Canis lupus familiaris: one gene and its partners. The protein of the gene in region 1 purifies or fractionates together with the protein of each later gene. This does not show direct contact. Links are inferred from orthologs where the notes say so. Each region holds a gene or a part of one and is shown in the gene's direction. Other genes may lie near its edges. The genes, in order: ARRDC1, ZMYM2 and NEDD4.

The links.
Region 2: the proteins of ARRDC1 (region 1) and ZMYM2 purify together in Homo sapiens (affinity purification with mass spectrometry; 3 studies listed by BioGRID and IntAct, counting the BioPlex papers as one, with this or other methods). This does not show direct contact. The link is inferred for Canis lupus familiaris from reciprocal best matches to the Homo sapiens genes ARRDC1 and ZMYM2.
Region 3: the proteins of ARRDC1 (region 1) and NEDD4 purify together in Homo sapiens (affinity purification with mass spectrometry; 3 studies listed by BioGRID and IntAct, counting the BioPlex papers as one, with this or other methods). This does not show direct contact. The link is inferred for Canis lupus familiaris from reciprocal best matches to the Homo sapiens genes ARRDC1 and NEDD4.

Annotation. Positions count from the first base shown.
Region 1 is NC_049230.1:48,164,521-48,167,734, reverse strand, and holds part of ARRDC1 (arrestin domain-containing protein 1), read left to right. Parts: intron 1-2,646; coding exon 2,647-2,757; intron 2,758-3,210; coding exon 3,211-3,214. UniProt on the Homo sapiens protein: Functions as an adapter recruiting ubiquitin-protein ligases to their specific substrates. Through an ubiquitination-dependent mechanism plays for instance a role in the incorporation of SLC11A2 into extracellular vesicles.
Region 2 is NC_049246.1:18,189,799-18,193,450, reverse strand, and holds part of ZMYM2 (zinc finger MYM-type protein 2), read left to right. Parts: coding exon 1-153; intron 154-2,119; coding exon 2,120-2,285; intron 2,286-3,072; coding exon 3,073-3,285; intron 3,286-3,652. UniProt on the Homo sapiens protein: Involved in the negative regulation of transcription.
Region 3 is NC_049251.1:21,439,857-21,443,508, reverse strand, and holds part of NEDD4 (E3 ubiquitin-protein ligase NEDD4), read left to right. Parts: intron 1-242; coding exon 243-303; intron 304-2,730; coding exon 2,731-2,790; intron 2,791-2,872; coding exon 2,873-2,980; intron 2,981-3,587; coding exon 3,588-3,652. UniProt on the Homo sapiens protein: E3 ubiquitin-protein ligase which accepts ubiquitin from an E2 ubiquitin-conjugating enzyme in the form of a thioester and then directly transfers the ubiquitin to targeted substrates. Specifically ubiquitinates 'Lys-63' in target proteins.

The DNA of each region.
Region 1 (3,214 bases):
ATGTTGCTGTGCGCTGGAGGGTGCATCTGACCAGAACACGTACCAGGCCCTCCCCCCCCCCCCCCCCCGCCTGGTCCTGTAGCTGAGCCACGGGACACACATAGACCCACATGGGACACACAGACACACACAGGTCACACAGACACACGGGACACACATGCTGGTGCCATGGGCCTGCTCTCCTGCAGGAGCACATCTCCCTTGCGTGGGGTAGGAGGGACAGTCCTGCTGTGTGTGTCCCTCCCCCTGCCTCCACAGTCCCCCTGTGGAGGAGAGTGGACAGAATGGCCATTTGACTCCAAGACAGTGATTGGAAGCTGCTCACTCAGGTCACCACAGGGCCTTCAGTGTGTGCAGAGAGGCCCCCTGCCTGGGCCTTGGGAACGTCTTAGGACTTGGGCCCCTCTGGGATACCCTGAGGGGAGGCTGATACCATTTGTGTTTCTGAGATCAGATGACCCCGTGTCATGTGCACCTGAATTCTGGGGGCCGTTTTGGGCTGGATGGGTGACAGTCTTAGCCTCCCTGCCATTAGACATGTGGGCTGTGCCTGGATAATTTGTTGTTACAGACAGGTTGCTCACAGCTCCTGGGTAGACAGGGTGGGTTCTGAGAACTGTGGGTACTCTGGTGTGTGTGTGCATGTGTGCGCGTGTTTGAGTGTGTAAGGTCCCAGCAGATCCTCCTGTTGCTTTGCCAGGGCCCTGGTAGCAGCTCGTGGTGTGATTGCTGTGAAGATTGTGTTTTTCTTTCTTTTTTTTTTTTAAAGATTTTATTTATTCATGAGAGACACAGAGAGAGAGAGAGAGGCAGAGACACACAGGCAGAGAGAAGCAGGCTCCATGCAGGGAGCCCGATGTGGGACTCGATCCCAGGACTCCAGGATCACACCCTGAGCCAAAGGCAGACGCTCAGCCACTGAGCCACCCAGGCGTCCCAAGATTCTGTTTTTCTATCTCCTCTCCAACATTAGTCAGAATATTTAATATTTGGCAATCGGATAGGGTAAAATGATAACTCGTCTGAGTTTCTCTGGTGTCTTCCGAGGTGGGGTGTCTGTTTCTGTCGTTTGCTGCTGTGCCACTCCTATGACAAACCACCCCTAGACTAAGTGGCTTAAAGCAACCGTTTCATCATGGCTCCTGGCGTCGTGGATTGGGAATTTGGACAGAGATGGGCAGGTTGAGGCTTCGGCTCTCTACATCATCCACTGAAGTCACCTGACGGTTTTCAGCTGGCACTGGGCCGATCAGTCTGGGGAGTGCCAAATTCCTTTGGGTCCCAGAATTCGCAGGGCAGCCAGCTCCAAGGTGGAGTGCACCCTCCCGCCTCTGTGGGGAGTGTAGACTGCTGTGGCATCTGGATTGCCATGCGTCCCCTCTCTTATCCAGCCCACCCCACTGTGTTCCTCTGGGGCTGCGGGAGCCTGTGGGAGCACCACAGGTGTCTCAGATCTGTGGGGTGGGAGCAGATCGGGTCTGGCCTTGGGAGGGGACAGCTGATGGGGTGTGGGTTAGAAATCTGGGCTGGGGTCTAGTCATGGGCGCGGTGCCGGGGGGCGTGCAGGACAAGTCGGCTCCCTGGGGGAGAGCCTGGTGGTCCGTGAGTGGCCAGCAGGAGGCTTGCTTGGGCGGGGTGAGGCTGGCCTGGGGAGACTGCACATGGTCTGGTGAGGCTGGCCCTGGCCCTGGGCACTTGGGATCCTGGGTTCCTCCCACTAAGTGGCTCTGTCAGAAGGTGTTAGATTCCAAGTGCCCTTCTTCTCAGCTGACCATCATGTCAGGGGATGGCAGGGAGAGGCTGGGCAGGCAGGCTGGTGTCTTTGGCCTTGTCTTAAGCCTGCAGTTATTGGCGGGGTGGAGCTGCCGGGCCATCCGGGGCTACTCAGCACTGAGCCTCGGCTGCCCCAGCTGTGCTGTCTCCCCTGGTTGTCCAGCCAGGGCCTCTGGCCACAGTGCTCTCTGGGCTTGTGTCCCCTGGAGTGGGGAGTTTGAGTTCCTGACCACAGAAAGGTGGTGGCGACCTCCACTGCAAACAGGCCTAATCTAGGCATTTCCACCCGCGAGTAGGGCAGAGGACATCGGCCCTTGTGGGCAGGACTGGTCCGGAAGTCCAGGGTGTGCCAGACTGTTGGGTACTCATCAGCTCGGGCAGGTCTGACCACATTCCTGCATCCTGAAGGGCTAACAGTTAGCTTCCTGGAGCGTGAAGAGGCACCTCCCAGCCTGGTTGACTTGCCAGTGAGGCCACATGTAGTGAGGTTGGCTGTTCATAGGCTTTTGTCGTCATTGGTGCCCCAAGCATCTCTTGTAGGGAGCTGAGTTTCCACAGGTCTGCTGGGCCCAGGGTGGCTGGAAACCAAGGTTACCAGGTGGGGGATTGTGTGGGACATTTGGGTGACTGCTGGGACCCTCCTGTTCTGGACTTCAGGACAGATCTGCCTCTGTGCCTTATCACCCTGGCTCCCTGGGACTACCCCCAAATGTGGGATGGACAGAGGTATCCTCTGCAGGGCACAGGCCACTTGTGGGCCCATCAGAGGCCCAGCTCGCCCCTTGGCGAGCTCTACCTGAATCTTTGTGATGGGGGCAGGAAGGGGCCCAGGCCTGTGGCTGCCTGGACTCATGCCATCCCCCTGCCTTGCAGCCATCCGGGTGACCTGCATGGGTTCCTGCAGGGTGTCCAACAAGGCCAACGATGCCGCGTGGGTGGTGGAGGAGGCTTACTTCAACAGTGCTCTGTCGCTGGCTGACAAGGGTGAGTCCAGGAGCCTTGCACTTGCCTTGCTGCATTGAGTGAGCCCCTGGCACCCCAGGGCAGACATTGGTTGAGAGTGGGGCCTGTCTGTCCACCACAGCTCCCCATTTGCTTCTGGGATCTCTGTGCTGACCCACCCTCTGGAAAGGCTTTGTACCAGATGTGTTTCTCTGCCTGAAGGCATGGGGCATTGCCTGATAGGGTCTGGGGGGTTGAGGGGGCCACATCTCCTGGGTGTGGGTGGGCTCCGGCCCCTGGCAGAGCCCTGTCCCCCTTTCCTCTCCAAGCCAAGCTCTTGTAACCCGTCCTCGGCCCAGGTTGCGGCCCTGTGCTGTTGTGGCACCAGGAGGCAGAGGCTGGGAGTGTGAGATGGCCCACTGCCTCTGTCCGCTGTCCGGTGGCGTCACCTCAAGGCTCCTGAGCCCCCCCCCTCCCCCCGTCTTGTCTCTGCAGGGAG
Region 2 (3,652 bases), on another chromosome or scaffold:
TAAAGTCACTTGTGCAAACTGCAAAAAACCTTTACAGAAGGGACAGACAGCTTATCAACGAAAAGGATCAGCTCACCTCTTTTGTTCTACCACCTGCCTTTCCTCCTTCTCTCACAAGCCTGCTCCAAAGAAACTTTGTGTTATGTGTAAAAAGTAAGGTTTTCTTTTCTTTTCTTTTTTTTTAATTGAAGTATAGTTGACACATGGTATTACATTAGTTTCAGGTGTACAACAGAGTGGTCCAACAAGTCTGTAGGTTATGCTTTGCTCATCACAAATGTAGGTAAGGTTTACCTTTCAACATCATTCCATATGATTGAATATTGGTGGTATATAATTTTAGGGAAATCATGAGTCTAAGAGGTGAATTATGGTGTTTGAAAAATTAGTAAGCTAGTTGTTTAAATCTTAAAGCCAAACTCAAATGTGTAATGGCTTTGGAGGCTTTTCTACCACACCAGGTGGCTTATGGTAAAAGACTTCCTATTGGGCAGACTTTGGGGTTTGTTTATTTCTTTATTTATAAAAGATTTATTGATTTATTTGAGAGAGAGAAAGACAGCACGTGAGCATGCGGGGTAGAGGGGGTTGTGCAGAGGGAGAGGGAGAGAGAGAGCATCCTAAGCAGACTTCATGCTGAGTGTGGAGCTGGATTTGAGGCTCATGCCATGAGACCATGACCCTAGCCAAAGTCAAGAGTCAGATACCCAAATGACTGAGCCAGCCAGGTGCTCTGAGGTTGATTTAAGGCCCTTGTAATTTTGTCTGTAATCTCCATTGGACTCCTTGACATTTGTCAAAATGCATACAGCTTATTCACATTACTAATTATTAGAATTTAATTTTGGCAAGATAATATTGTTTTGCAGTTTATTATAACTAGTACTATATAAAAATAGGTCAGATTTTGCACTATCTTCATTTTAAGATCATTTTAAATTGGCATGTCTTTAGATTTTATTTATTTATTTTTAAAGATTTTATTTATTTATTTGACAGAGGGAGCAAGCAAGTACAAGCAGGGGGAGTGGCAGAGAGAGAGGGAGAAGCTGTCCCTCTGCTGAACAGGGAGCAGATTCTGGCTCTATCCCAGGATCCTGGGGTCATGACCTGAGTCTAAGGCAGATGCTTAACCAACTGAGCCATCTAGGTGCTCCTGCTCACGGTTTTAAGACTCAGGTACCAGTTTTTTGATAGCCTTGGAGAGAGACAGTTCTCTCTTCTGCCAATTTTTAGGTCTGGCTTCCACTAGTTAAAAATAAATGGAATATTGGAGCATCTGGGTAGCTTAGTCCGTTAAACATCCAACTCAGTTTCAGCTTTGGTCTTGGTCTCAGGGTTGTGAGTTCAAGCCCTGCACTTAGATCCGTGCTGAGCCTGGAGCCTACCATATTTTGGAGCAGCCTATGTTTGTGACGATATTTTTTAGATCTTAGAACTTTGAAAAAGCCTTAGTGTTCTGTATAAATTGAATTCAAATATTGGAACAATCATACAGTTTTTAGATTGCTTTATAGTAGTAGCCTTTTGCATACTGTAACATAGGACCTCAAAATTCAGAATTTTATTAAAGGGAATTGTCACATGTCATCAGTATTGTTTTTTTGATTGCTAATTGCATTTGGAGAGCTGTGTAGAATGGTAGGTAGGGTTGTTTTGGGTTATGGATATGGAGGTGTACTTAAGTTCAGTTATCTTCTCTAGAATATCTGTCATCTCTGTGACCTAGATCTTTCAGACTTTCTACTTATGCATGGGAAAGGAATTGACTAGGTATTACAAATTCATACCTCAGGGGATTAGACCTGGACATTAAACTCCTTGTAAGTAATAACTTTTTAAAAAAGTGTTTCCAATATCTTGAAGCCTTGTTAAGGAGTTTGAAGATAAATTGAGTACTGGCAAAGATTTAATAGTATAAAATACTTTTGTTTTTTAATCTTTTGTATTAAAATTTTATTGCCAAGAGGTTTTAAATAGTAAAAGTGATTTCATGGATCTAAATGGTATTTGATTCACATGGTTCAATTTATAGAAATTAGAAATGTTAGTTATTACTCTTATATTTGATTTTTTTAAAAATAGAATTTTGCTTTAAGTTGTCTTGCTTATTTTTCAGAGATATAACTACAATGAAAGGAACCATTGTTGCTCAAGTGGATTCAAGTGAATCCTTCCAGGAATTCTGTAGTACATCTTGTTTGTCTCTCTATGAGGACAAACAGAATCCTACTAAAGGAGCTCTAAATAAATCAAGATGTACAATTTGTGGTAAACTAACAGAGGTTTGTATTTTTGTGCCTTCTCTCTTTAGTTCTAAATAATGGAAATATTCTTAACATTATTTAATAGTTAGGATAAACTGATCAGTATGTATTTCCTTAAAACAGATGATATATAAAATTTATCTTATAATAATATCCCATTATGTAATCCCATTCTCACATGGGGAGCATGATTTAGGAAATACTAAAATTTAATATTAGTTGACTTTTTCTTGAGGTTTGGAACATGTAGAGAGAGCCAAAACCATAGTGTTTAAACACATAGGCTGATTACCAAAAGACAACAGACTAGAATGCTTAAGAAGGAGAATAAGTGGAGAGACTATTTTTTGATAACTTCACATTACTGATGTATTAACATTTCTGTATTTGTTTGAAGAAAAACCTGTGTACTCTACATATCATTTGAATTTTTTATAATATTGGTTCTCTCCTCCCTTTCTAGAGCAATGTACTTAATTTTAGTTCCTTTTGGATTGGTCTAAAGATTTTTCAATCTGTTTTAGAATTTTATATTAACAATATCCAACCTGAGTTGTTTCCTATCATTTTTAGATAACTCTAGAGAAGTTTGTAATAATTCACTAGTGGTTCCCCCTCTGCCATACATGTATTTCTTGTGTGTATAAAAATAGTTCAAAGAAAATGAAAGCTATTTTCTTTCTCTTTGCCTAAATAAGCCTTCCACAGAAAAATCATTGAGTTGTTTTCTTTCTGTTGGAGCACCTTGTTATTTAGCTACGTGTGATACTCATTGGTCTTTAAAATTTTGTTTGCTTGTTTTTAGATTCGCCATGAAGTTAGCTTTAAAAATATGACTCATAAGCTGTGCAGTGACCACTGCTTTAATAGATACAGAATGGCTAATGGTTTAATAATGAATTGCTGTGAGCAGTGTGGAGAGTACCTGCCGAGCAAAGGTGCTGGAAACAATGTCCTGGTGATCGATGGTCAGCAGAAAAGATTTTGCTGTCAAAGTTGTGTCAGTGAATACAAACAGGTAATTCATGATCTAATCAGAATTGGCCATTCTTTTGAATATTTTTAAGTTGCCGTAATAGTTTTACTTTAGCAGTATTTATTAACTAGGTTTATTCTGGAATCTCATTTAATTCCATTATTTTCTTCAACTCTTAGAGTTGACCTAACCCAAATGAATACTGATGTATGTAGATTTTCAGACATTGTGATTTTACATATAATGGTAAATGCTGGCAGAATGATTCCTCTTTTGAAATATTGTTTATGGGTAAAGGAGAAGAGTTCCAAGTACAATTTTAAAGTTTAGCTTAGGAATGATTATCTTACTTATATTTCAATGTTAAGGTCTTTTGATTTAGTTTGTTTTTGAATATATACATGTGGTT
Region 3 (3,652 bases), on another chromosome or scaffold:
TTTAGTATATACTTTACTGGAAATAATTTTGTAGTTCTTTCTGGGAAGACTCTGTACCTTCTTCCTTCATAGCCAGCGTCTCAATGTTCTTTATTCTCTTTCTGTAAAAATGCTGTATTACCCATTCATATTTATTTTTGGGCTTACCTAGTCTTTATTTTTTGTTTCCAACTGGAGTAAATATACCTTAAATGTTTTTCTTCATTCATATGAAAAAGATGAAATATTTTGTTTCTTTTTAGTCTTGTAATACAGTGGCGATTTGTAAACCGAATCCAGAAGCAAATGGCTGCTTTTAAAGAGGTATTCATTTACTTTTGTTTGTTCTTCTGTAATTTCAAAGTATAATTCTTGAGTTTCAAGTATTGGAGTCATCACATGTGATAATTAATGGATGACTTGCTTTTTAAAAACAACTTTTAATTTTTATAGTAAAAAATTTTAAATGAATAGGTGTTCACTGTTAAAACTCATTCAAGAAGCCCATTCAGTTGACATTGACAATCCTCCTTCACACTGGTCATGGATCCTCATCTTTTCCCAGTCATGTCTCCTCTTCCTCCTCCATCTTAAGTTACATTAGATGAACAAGGATCAAGGGTGCTATAGGGAGAGTGGAATAGGCCATTTATTTTCCCACATGGGATCACACTATACATGTTAGTTTGTGACTTGCTTTCTTGTCTTATCAAATATTTATTGGAAATCTTTATGTGTCAAGATGCGCAACTATTTTTCCTTGTGGCTGCAGTTTACTCATAAATCCATAAGGTTTTAAACTTCCCCAGTTAGTGAACATTTAGGCTGTTGCCAGTGCACTCTTGTGTCTTAAACCAACTTAAAACCTTCTGTTAGATATTTATCACGTACTTTTTTATTTATCCGGTATTCAGCACTCACTCTGTATCTGGTACTGCACAAGGCATAAAGACATAGGTCCTGTTATAGGGGGCAGAGAATCTGAAGAGGTGGACAGAGGCAAGCCTGTGCTTGGTAAGCACAGTGGAGAGGTGGAAACCAGGGCAGGAGAGGTGCAGGGAGGGACAGGGAAGGCCTAGGGCGTTTGGCCCGCTACATGCAATTCCAAGCAGAATGAGTGGTCTGTGTGAAGTCTGTCCATAAGACTGTGTGCATGTTGGAGAAAATGCCAGCAGTTCATAAGATGATGCAGGAGGTAAAACTGAGCTGGAGAGCTGACCAGAACTGGGTTATGAAGGGCCTGTTTGCTAACCTGGAAACAAAGGTGGGATTTGACTCTTTTGTGAAAATCCAGTGAGGGGAAGGAAGGTGGTATCAAAGGCTGTTCTATGATAAAACACCAGGATTCAATTTATATTTTAGTCAGATCATTCTGGAAGTGGCGTGTAGTGAGTTAGAGTTGGACAAGGCTAGCAGCAGGGGTGGGGGGAGAAGGTACTCCAGTGATCCAGGTGAGCAAAGGTAAGGGCAGGAACTAAGGTGGTAGTGGTGGGAAGACAGCTGTGTGTGTATCTGAGTGGGATTCATGAGGGAGAGCTGTAGTTCAGGATGCTTTAAAGGATAGAGGTCTGGGGAGGGCAGCATGAATTTGGGGATCATCTGCCTTTGTGTCCTGGAGCTGTGGACTAGGTGAGATGGGAAATTGGAAGAATGGTACGAACAATGAAAGTGGATGGCCACCATAGAGATGTGGGAACAGCAATATGGAAGGAACCAGTGGGTAGAAAAGGAGACTTCAAGGGAAATTAGCAAATGCAGACAGAGATGAAAGAGAAATCATCCACAGCAGACAAAGTTTCAACAACGAAGGTGTTTTCAACAATATCCTAGTGCAAAGAAGTAAAAAAAGATACAGAACTAGGAAGTGTTTATCAGAATTAGCCACAGAGCTGTCTCTGACTTTTTCCAGGACAGCCTGAGGGAAGCAGGGGCACAGAGGGCAGATGGCAGCGGGTGGAGGCAGAGCTGCAGGTGGGCAGGTGGCTTCAGTAAGGTATAATAACTTGGCAGTAAAGAGAAGAAAGATGGTTTTGCTTTTTTGTTTTGTTTTGTTTTTAAATTATTTATTCATGAGAGAGAGAGAGAGAGAGGCAGAGACATAGGCAGAGGGAGAAGCAGACTCCCTGTGGAGAGCCTGATATGGGACTTGATCCCAGGACCCCAGAATCACAACCTGGGCCGAAGGCAGATGCTCAACCACTGAGCCAGCCAAGAACCCCTTTTTTGTTATTTTTAAGGTAGATAAGCTTAAACAAGTATAAATGCATGTAGTGAGCTAATAAAGAGAAGGAGATTTAGTGAGAGGAGCCCTTCGGGGAAGCAGATGAGGCACAGAGAGGAGATAGCACCTGTCTCTGACAGTGGGAAGGGAGACCACAATGATGTCAGTGGCAGTTGGTACATGGAGATGCGTGCAGAAGGTTGAGGGAATTCCATAATCGCCTCTGTTTTGTCTCTCAAATAAAAGTTATCTGCTGTCAGGAAGGGGTAACATGGAGGAGGAGGAAGTGCCTTGGGAAGTGTGGAGAGGTTTCAAAATAGCCATTGTGAGGAATCAGTGAGAAAGAAGAGATTATGGACATGTACATTTTCTTGCCAATACTGGAATCTCAGTTAACTTAAGAACCCAAGACTAGGTGGTGGTAGGAACCTATGTGCATGTGGGATTTCTCCAGAACAACCCAGGAGCTAAAGTAGAGGGCTGTCAATGGAATCTGCTAACCAATTTTTAAAATACATTCCTTCTCCTAGGGATTTTTTGAACTAATACCACAGGATCTCATCAAAATTTTCGATGAAAATGAACTAGAGGTAAGAAATACTCTTATTTTCAAACAGGATTTTTGTGTCCATTATTTATCTTGTCTGTAGTTTGACATTTCTTATCACGTAGCTTCTTATGTGTGGATTGGGAGATGTCGATGTGAATGACTGGAGAGAACACACAAAATATAAGAATGGCTACAGTGTGAATCATCAAGTCATACAGTGGTTCTGGAAGGTAATTGAAAGCTTCTGTTTCTGTAAATTACTTTTCAATAGATTCAGTCATATTAACTATACTAATGGATCACATAGAGATAAGACACAATGTAATGTACTGTATACATCTACCTTCCGGATATGGCTGCAACCTCCATGCATATTTATAGATAAGTCAGTGTTCAGAATGTAGGAAGTCATGGGAACAGCCGTGGTGGGCTCTTGGTTCCTTACCAGCAGTAGAACTGTCCAAGAGAACTTGTAATCACCTGCAGTGCATTCTCTGGGCCTCCTGCATGGCTGCTTTAAATGTTATTTTCCATCTAATTGAGAATTGTGTGTGTTACTCAATAATATCAGTAAATATCATTTTTAAAAAGCCACGAGTCACATCCAAAAAGATATTTTTGTCACTTTATTAGGCTGTGATCTCATCCCACAGAGTTACTCTGTGTTTTTAGGAATTCTGTAAGCCACCCAGAAACACAAATGTAACTAACAGATATATGTAAATTTAATAATGGATCATTAATACCATAATTAAATTCTGATAACATATTTTTTAAGATAGTTCTGTTACTTTTTTTCCTAGGGATGTACCTAAATGCTGTTTTTCTCTTATTCAGGCTGTTCTAATGATGGATTCAGAAAAAAGAATAAGATTACTTCAGTTTGTCACTGGTACATCTCG